Linked DNA regions of Daphnia pulex. The protein of the gene in region 2 purifies or fractionates together with the protein of the main gene of each other region. This does not show direct contact. Links are inferred from orthologs where the notes say so. Each region holds a gene or a part of one and is shown on either strand. Other genes may lie near its edges.

Evidence for each region. Proteins that work in one complex are often made in the same cells at the same time.
Region 1: the proteins of histone-binding protein N1/N2-like (region 2) and histone acetyltransferase type B catalytic subunit-like purify together in Homo sapiens (affinity purification with mass spectrometry; 3 studies listed by BioGRID and IntAct, with this or other methods). This does not show direct contact. The link is inferred for Daphnia pulex from reciprocal best matches to the Homo sapiens genes NASP and HAT1.

Annotation. Positions count from the first base shown.
Region 1 is NC_060025.1:914,212-918,193, forward strand, and holds histone acetyltransferase type B catalytic subunit-like, read left to right. Parts: upstream 1-1,463; 5' UTR 1,464-1,676; coding exon 1,677-1,683; intron 1,684-1,785; coding exon 1,786-1,854; intron 1,855-1,917; coding exon 1,918-1,993; intron 1,994-2,056; coding exon 2,057-2,180; intron 2,181-2,237; coding exon 2,238-2,379; intron 2,380-2,451; coding exon 2,452-2,608; intron 2,609-2,670; coding exon 2,671-2,882; intron 2,883-2,948; coding exon 2,949-3,100; intron 3,101-3,162; coding exon 3,163-3,279; intron 3,280-3,341; coding exon 3,342-3,482; downstream 3,483-3,982. Other genes in the region: methionine aminopeptidase 1D, chloroplastic/mitochondrial-like, read right to left, coding at 44-154, 245-395, 479-534, 605-740, 828-1,059, 1,122-1,225. UniProt on the Homo sapiens protein: Histone acetyltransferase that plays a role in different biological processes including cell cycle progression, glucose metabolism, histone production or DNA damage repair. Coordinates histone production and acetylation via H4 promoter binding.
Region 2 is NC_060017.1:1,803,476-1,807,638, forward strand, and holds histone-binding protein N1/N2-like, read left to right. Parts: upstream 1-1,424; 5' UTR 1,425-1,613; coding exon 1,614-1,699; intron 1,700-1,769; coding exon 1,770-1,996; intron 1,997-2,056; coding exon 2,057-2,603; intron 2,604-2,675; coding exon 2,676-2,831; intron 2,832-2,890; coding exon 2,891-3,013; intron 3,014-3,077; coding exon 3,078-3,471; 3' UTR 3,472-3,663; downstream 3,664-4,163. UniProt on the Homo sapiens protein: Component of the histone chaperone network. Binds and stabilizes histone H3-H4 not bound to chromatin to maintain a soluble reservoir and modulate degradation by chaperone-mediated autophagy.

The sequences.
Region 1 (3,982 bases), on a different chromosome or scaffold from region 2:
CAAAATTAAAAAATTGCGCCAAAAAACCATAGTTTCTTCATACTGAAGTGATATATATCTGGAGCTCCATGGAAATAGGAGCCGATTCCGTGCCCTGTAAACGCCGGAACAACTCGGAAGCCATGTTTTCGGGCACAAGCGTCAATGACTGCGCCTTTAATAGTTGGACAGAATGGTTAACAACAATGTTCTGTCATCAGCGCAAGAGCAAAAAAACAAACAGACTTTCAATGATGTTGATTACCGATATTGTTATATGGTCTCCCCGGATGACATATTGCCACAGCTTCATCTAGGCATATTTTGGTGACATCCACTAATTCCTTTCCTTGTTCATCGACATCACCAACTAGGAAAGTCTCTGAAACGTCGCCGTGGAAACCGTTTAGATACACCTATGGTACGAATTTCAATAAGTCTTCATTATTCGTATCAAATTGACGGAAAAAAAACACAAAAAAAACAATTTACAACTCACAGTGACATCCACATTTATAATATCTCCATCAATTAAAGGTCTGTCATCAGGTATACCTAAGTTGGAAAATGCACAATAAGTAAAGCTCAAGCATATAATAGATATTAATTCCAAAATAGTACAAACCATGACACACAACATTGTTTACAGAGGTGCAAACAGACTTTGGAAATCCCTTATAATGTAGAGGTGATGGGTAAGCTCCGTGAGAGATAATAAACTCATACACACATTTGTCAATTTCCTCAGTTGTAGTTCCAACCTGTAAATCCAAACATACTGTTTAGATATATTTCTGTTTCAATCATGCCATGTTACCAATTCGGCAATTCCTAATACATTCTTTTACCTTAACCAGCTCTTTTGCGTACCTCAGGGTATTTTTTGCAAGGCTACAGGATGCCCTCATGCATTCTATCTGTGTGCTGGATTTGATCTCTGGTTGAGCAGAACTAGGGAATGTGCCATTTACATCATTTATGTACGGTGGCTTCACAATATTTGATGGAACACATCTTGGCTCCAGAACTACATGGCCTGGTTTCTTTATAACTTGGTAATTTCCGAAATTTTGATTTTTCCTGTTAAAAATGTTTAGTTATTTCTATATATTTATCAGGTTTTAATGAGATAGCAAAAATACTTAAACCAGGAGATATTTCTTATATTCCGTTTTATTTGCATTAGGTTTTGTGACGATGAGAGTGTGCTACCAAGTGAAGTAGCCCATAGTCTTTTAAATAGCATATCTGTCAAAATCTTATTTAAGTAAGAAAGTGTTTAGGCTAGTATTTGAATAATTTGTTAATTTTGTTCTATAAAATCGAATTTGACTGAGTGTTAAGCAGAAGAAAACTCAGGCTTTGTTGACATTTCACAAAAGATTTTTGTCTGCTACATATAACGCGGGAAAAAGAGCTATCGCCATCTACTGTGTGCAATTATCACTATCATTGCATTAGGGTTTCTGCAACCTCCTTCTTCTTTTAAGTTGTTTGGGCTAGAGAACATGGATCTCCAAATCGGTTGCCCAATCCCTCCAACAACCTTTTTCGCGGTCAGTAGTGATTCAGTAGTGATTCAGTTCGTCAGAAGTTTTTGCATGCCGCCCGCCTGTGCATTTTAGAAAGTAGCAAATTATTATTAGCACTTGTTAAGTCATAGTGCAGCTTAATTTATATTAACTATTCATATTGAAATGGAAGGTAATGCATTTCATAGGAATTTGTTTTAGAATATTACAAAACAACTTCCAACATAATTCATTACACCAAAATGCTTGCTAACTTTTCTTTTTACGTTGCTAGGTTCTTACAAAAAAAATGTACTTCAGTCATTCATCATCGATTCGAACGAAGCTCTAGATTTTAAGTTAGGTAAGGAATTTAATTTATTGCTAAAGCTTTTACTGAATCATGCAATTTTTTTAATTTATACAGTTCGAGAACCTTCTGATGTTGATAATGATGAAACTACCTTCAAACCAGAAATGTCTCATCAAATTTTTGGAGAAAAGTATGTCCAAGTAAAAACATTGAGAATCATTTAATCAATTATAAATTATTTTGTTTCCCCAAGTGAAAGCATATTTGGTTACCAGAACCTCAAAATTAGCTTGTACTACACTGCAGGAAAACTAAACACATACCTTGGAATGAATTACAGTAAAAAAGTTGATCCCAAGCAATTTGAAGGAGCTACAGTGAGTCCCCTTTTTATTTGAATTGTGTGATGTATTTGAACTACTTTACATTATTAGGCTGATGATGTAATGGGAGCCATCACTCCTAAACTTCCACCTGGTTACATGACTAACCTTGATGACTTTCTCGTAACCCTAAACAAAGAACAAAGCTTCAAACCTCCTGGTGAACTTCTTTCAACATACTCTATAAACAAAGGTACTAATACTACAGATTACAAAGGTTCACAGATTTTGTAGATGCTTTGAGTCATCACAATCCCATTTCCAGGTTCGGCCGCAGAAAAGAATTTTGAATTGTACAGTTGTACGATAGAAGAACCTAGTTTTCGATCATACCACGAGCGATTGCAAACTTTCCTCTTGTGGTATGTGGATGCAGCTAGCTTTATCGACGTTGATGATGACCGCTGGCGCTTTTACTTAATGTAATAACTTTTAGATATTCATCTAATCCGATGTTTTTCATTTGAGACTGTATCTTCTGCAGATTCGAAAAATATCCTTGTGATGGAAGTCATCGATATGCTCTGTGTGGATATGCCACAGTTTACCTTTATTTTGCTTATCCTAATAAAACTCGGCCTCGCATCAGCCAGTTCTTAGTTTTGCCACCTTTTCAACGCGTAGGTCTTGGAGCAGAACTTCTAAACACCATTTATCGTTCATTTCTTAAGGATTCCAACATACTTGACATCACAGGTATGTATCAGTGTTAACAGATGTTTGGAGAATTGTTACTCATGCTTTGTGTCTATTTTTTAACAGTTGAAGATCCTTCGGAAGAATTCACTCGTCTTCGTGATTTTGTCGACGCTCAAAATAGCAAAAAACTATCGTCTTATTCTAAAGAAAAACTTCAACAAGGATTTAATGCTGAGATGGTGGAAGATGCTCAACGAGAGCTTAAAATCAACAAAGTAATATTAATAACTTGGTTTCACAACTGACTCTAAAATTGTTATGCTCCAATTGTATTCAGAAACAAGCAAGGCGTGTTTATGAAATCCTTCGTTTCGAGGCAACCAACCTAGCGGATGTCGAAGAATATCGTGCCTATCGCTTAGACGTAAAGCGTCGCTTGAATATTCCCTATCAGGTGGGTCCGAGCTTGTTCGATTAATCAAATTATACCCAATATAATTTACTTTTCCATTACAGAAAGAAGCATCAGATTACAAGAAATTACAAAAGGCCCTCAATGCAGAGGAACTTCGCTCTACCCTATCTACTTCAACTAAGGAACAACGGATTGAAAACCTGGACAAGCAATATCAAATGCTAGAAAATGAGTACAGGTAAAATTCCTACTAAGCTGGGAAAACATGTTTGGATTGTCATTTGTCATTGATCTGCTTCAATAGTAAACACTTACTGCACGTGGCACATCAAATCAGGTTACTGCGCCCTATAATTTTGCTTTCATAATACATTTTAGTCGCTAAAATTTGACAGTAGCCTTATCTTGAGTCGAAGTGGCCTTGGATTGATATTTAAAAAAAAGCAACTGATCGTCTGGTTGTGTGTGGTTAATATAATCCCTAATGCGTCATTTCTTATTGATGTAACTCATTTACTGTTAAGTAATGTTTCTTTTGCTTATGTATTCACGTACAAAATATTCTGTGAACTATAATTATTAAATGCGTTTGATTCGAATCATCATGAACATGAAGTCATGATTAAAGCAGTCTCTTCGGTATTACTTTTTGAACAGAGCGCCATTACCCATTATTATTTCATCAGACACCTAGTGGAGAAATCATGTACTGTTTCCTGTGCCAACTACCATATTGGATATT
Region 2 (4,163 bases):
ACAGTACCATTTCTTTTAAAATAATCCGTACAATATTAATAATTTTATGAATAGTTTTTTTTTTTTTCATTTATATCGATCTGTGTTCCATTTGTAATTTTGGCGTGAATGTGTCAAGAGATCTAACCGCAAGTCGGGACGGTCGTTGTCGTTGTTAAACAATTTGAATTGTAGATTAATTCAAAGTAAAATTTTAGAGGAGAAACGAAACATGTACTTGCATTGAAAGTGAACCTTGCCGAGGGTCTATTATTGACTGTACATTTTGTTTGGCAGTGCAGTGATTCGCCCGATTTTGTTTACTTTTGATTCTTGTTATCTAACTGCATTCTGAACATTCCCGATGCACCTGTCTGCCAGCCACACAACGACACCGATCATTCCAAAATATTTGATAGGCATAAATGTTGTTGTTGATTGTGCTTCGAATTTCTTTCCCCAATTTTTGTTTCGTTCAATCGTACATTTCCCATGTGTGCCGTAGTCGTGATGTGTTTTGTATATGATTCCCTGAGAGAGAGATAAAATTGCGTGTGTATTTAAGACAAGCAAATAAGCGTTCCACACCATTCCACCACGCTGTTGATGACCCCCTTTTTTTCTTTCACAATGTGGAACTCGGCTATTGTTTTCTGATGGATTTTTTGTTTCCGCCTTCATTTCTACAAGCGCTGCTGTCATTCCATTTTCTTTATCTGCGTGAGACTTTATCGTCATGCCTTGTTCTCTACACTTGTTCATTTCCCTTGTTTTCGTAATCGAAATACCTGTTTCACTTCATCGTCCATTTTCTCTAGCAACTTCCTTCACTTTCTTCGTCTCCAGCTAATGCAGCTCGTCTTATTTTGATTGTGGTCAAATGTGTAGCATTTTATTGGGATCGGCTCTGCTGGCCAGCAAAGTGCTTCTGCTCCAATGATTCGTTCTGTTTGTCTTTTTTTTTCAAGCATTTGAGCATTACAAAGTGTTTGCTCCCATAACAATCAAACTCAACGACTTTCATTATTTTTTTTGTTTAATTCACGGAACAAACAATTTGTTTGAATCAGCGGGTTGGTAAGAAATTAGTCGGTTGGATTATTATTTAAAATTACTAGCTGTTATAAAATCACGATTTAAAAATGTTTTTAAAGAATTAGATAGCACAGTTAAATTTACCCCCAAATTTAAAAGTTTTATAATTGCAACGTTGTCTAGTCAGAAAGATAAAACAGTTCAATCCATATGGAATTATTGATTACGATTTAGAACACGGAACAAAGGTGTAGAATAGCAAGCATGAAATCCTCACAAGATTTTAAACTAATCTCTCTCATTTCAACTTCAATCAAATGTATTTACTTAGTTCATGAGTCATGACACTTGCGAAAAACACAATTTTTCTTCCCTAGAGGGTGTTATCGTCCGTTTCCCGCCAACGTGTTGTGCACTGTCGCCCCCTTTAGTCTGATGGAAAATCGAAACGTCTGCTGAATCCACTTCTCCTAGACTCATACACCCACAGATTAGTTGTCAGTTCAGTTGTCACGCACCGGCGTGTTCCATTCAACGGTTTTTCCCCCATTTAATCTTTGGTAGCGTTTCACTTCTAAATTCTAATACGTAAAAATAAAATGGCAGAAATTCCAACCACCACGAATGGGATATCTTCTGAAACTGCCAGTGCTAGCGGCCCTGTAGAATCTTCTTCTAAAAAAGAGTATGTAACTACGTCTTTATATTTGCTAACACGTGACAAGGGAAGATTCATCTTTGCCGATTTTATGCAGGCAAGTTACCGAGATTGCCATGAATCTCTTAGTGCAAGGTCGCCGACATCTTCTCGTGTCAGACATTCCATCTGCCATTGCTGCTTTGGCTGAATCAGTTCAGTTGCTTGCCGAACAGTATGGAGAGTTTGCTGATGAGTGTGCCGAGTCCTACTACTATTATGGCATGGCTCTTCTTGAGATGGCTCGCACTGACTGTGATGTGCTGGGAGATGCTGTTGAAGGAGGTGATTTATTGTATTTCATTTACATATTTCTCGTACTTATACTTTGTACCCTGCTCATAGGTGACAGAACTGAAGGGGAAGAAGGAGAGTCGGAGGATGAAGAAAATGGTGATGATGAAGAAGAAAGCGAGGAAGAAGAGGATTCTGGTGAAAAGTCCATGAATGGTGATGTTGAGACAAATGACAAAACTGATAAACCAGATGATTCTGAAGTTAAAGAGAAGACTAAAGTTGCTGATGTAAAATCTACCACTGAAACTGCTCAATCTAAACCTGAAACTGCCAAACCTGCTGCTTCTGAAGCAGCAAATGTGGCTAAAGCACCAGATGTTGAAATGAAGGAAAGCGAACCTTCATCAGAACACACAAATGGACAAAACTCAGAGTCCAAAGCTGAGGAAAAAACTGATACTGCTCAAAATGGAGAAAAATCTGTCGCCAAACCTAAGAATGAAGCAAAGGGCAAATCTTTGAAAGCTGCTGGCAGTTCTTCAGGAGAGAAAGTTGATTCTGTTGCGGATGATGATGTTGATGTCAACACAGATGAAGTACCTAACCTTCAGTTGGCTTGGGAAGTGTTCGAAATAGCAAAAAATATATATCAAAGGTAATTTTCTTTTTCTTTTTTTTTTTTTTACTAAAAGCTTTTCACTTATTATCTTATTTTTTATTTATCCAGGAAAGCCGAAACAGATCCTGCGGCCAAGCCAAAACTTGCCGACGCTCTTATTCGATTGGCTGAAGTAGCAATTGAATCAGAAAACTATACTTCAGCTATAGAAGATTTGCAAAAATGTCTCGAGATTCAAAAAGCTTCGTTCCCAGCAGATAGCAGGTTTTAAATTTTTAATCTATTGGGCAAACTCTCCCTTTACATATTTATTATTCCTCTAGATCATTGGCTGAAACGCACTATCAACTTGGTGTTGCGTTCACTTTTACTACCGAATTCAAAGAAGCGGTTCGTAGCTTTGAATCAGCTGCCAGTGTCATTCAGTTGAGAATTGACAACCTCAAGTAAGTTAGTCTAATTTGATTTTTCATGTAATTGCCATTTTTAATATGAAGTTTGACATCTCAGGAATCCTTCTGAAAAGAAACCTTCTATGGAGGAGCCCAAGAATTTGTTTCACACCATTGAGGGGGAGATTGAGGAGCTGGAAACTCTGCTACCTGATATTCGTGACAAAATTGGCGACACCATCGATTTAGAAAAGGAGGCAATCCGGAAGTTGGCTGAAAACGGCAACAATGGAGCAGGCACTTCCAGCAGTGCTGATGGGGCGAATGGTAGCATGGAAACTGATGTGGCTATGCTGTCTGGAGAATCTCCAAATTCAGGAAAACCAGCCACGGATATTACACACTTGATCCGAAAGAAGAGGAAGCCAGATGATAACGTAGGAAGTGAGTCGTCAGTAGCCAAGAAAATCTGCCCAGATGGTGCAGTTGTTGCCGATGCTACTTCTGTTTGATGGGAGAAAAGATGATTGCGTACATTTTCCCCTGTGCTCTTGTCTCAACTCGGTTTTTTTAACTTTCGCTAATATTCATCGTAATCGATAATACAACTTACATGTTTTCTGTAGTATTTATCACACACAAGGTCCAATGTAAGTCTATGTAAGCTGTAACCATGCGTTCTACGAAGAAATGTGTCAAAATAATTCTAATTTCGTACAATTATTTCTTTGCTTGGATACTGATATTTTTCAATCATTTCCATTACTTTACTATGTGATCAAAAAAAGCAAGCGAGTTTAAATTATTTGGGCTCATTTGGAGAGCCATAGCATTGGCCTAGGCTATGGAGACCAAGTTGGGACCGGATCGGGTGAAATAGGGGCTCCTTATCTCTTGCCAAAAGATTTACACTTGGAACAATGAGAGAAAATGCCAGAAAACCACAGAAAGAATTTGCGTTATAACGACACAACAAATAAAAGTAAGAGTTACTTAACAAAATCGCATTTTAGTTTAAAAATCAGGCTTTATACCACTAACGCAGACTAAAACGTAAACATTAAGTCAGAATAGTGAACTACGTAATCAAGTGACAAATAACGAACCGCGAAGTGAATTTCTACCGTAGTATTCAATTCGAATTGCGGCTTACGTCGTGATTTCATTTAGGAGTCGTTAGTCAAAGATTCATTTACAGTTTTAG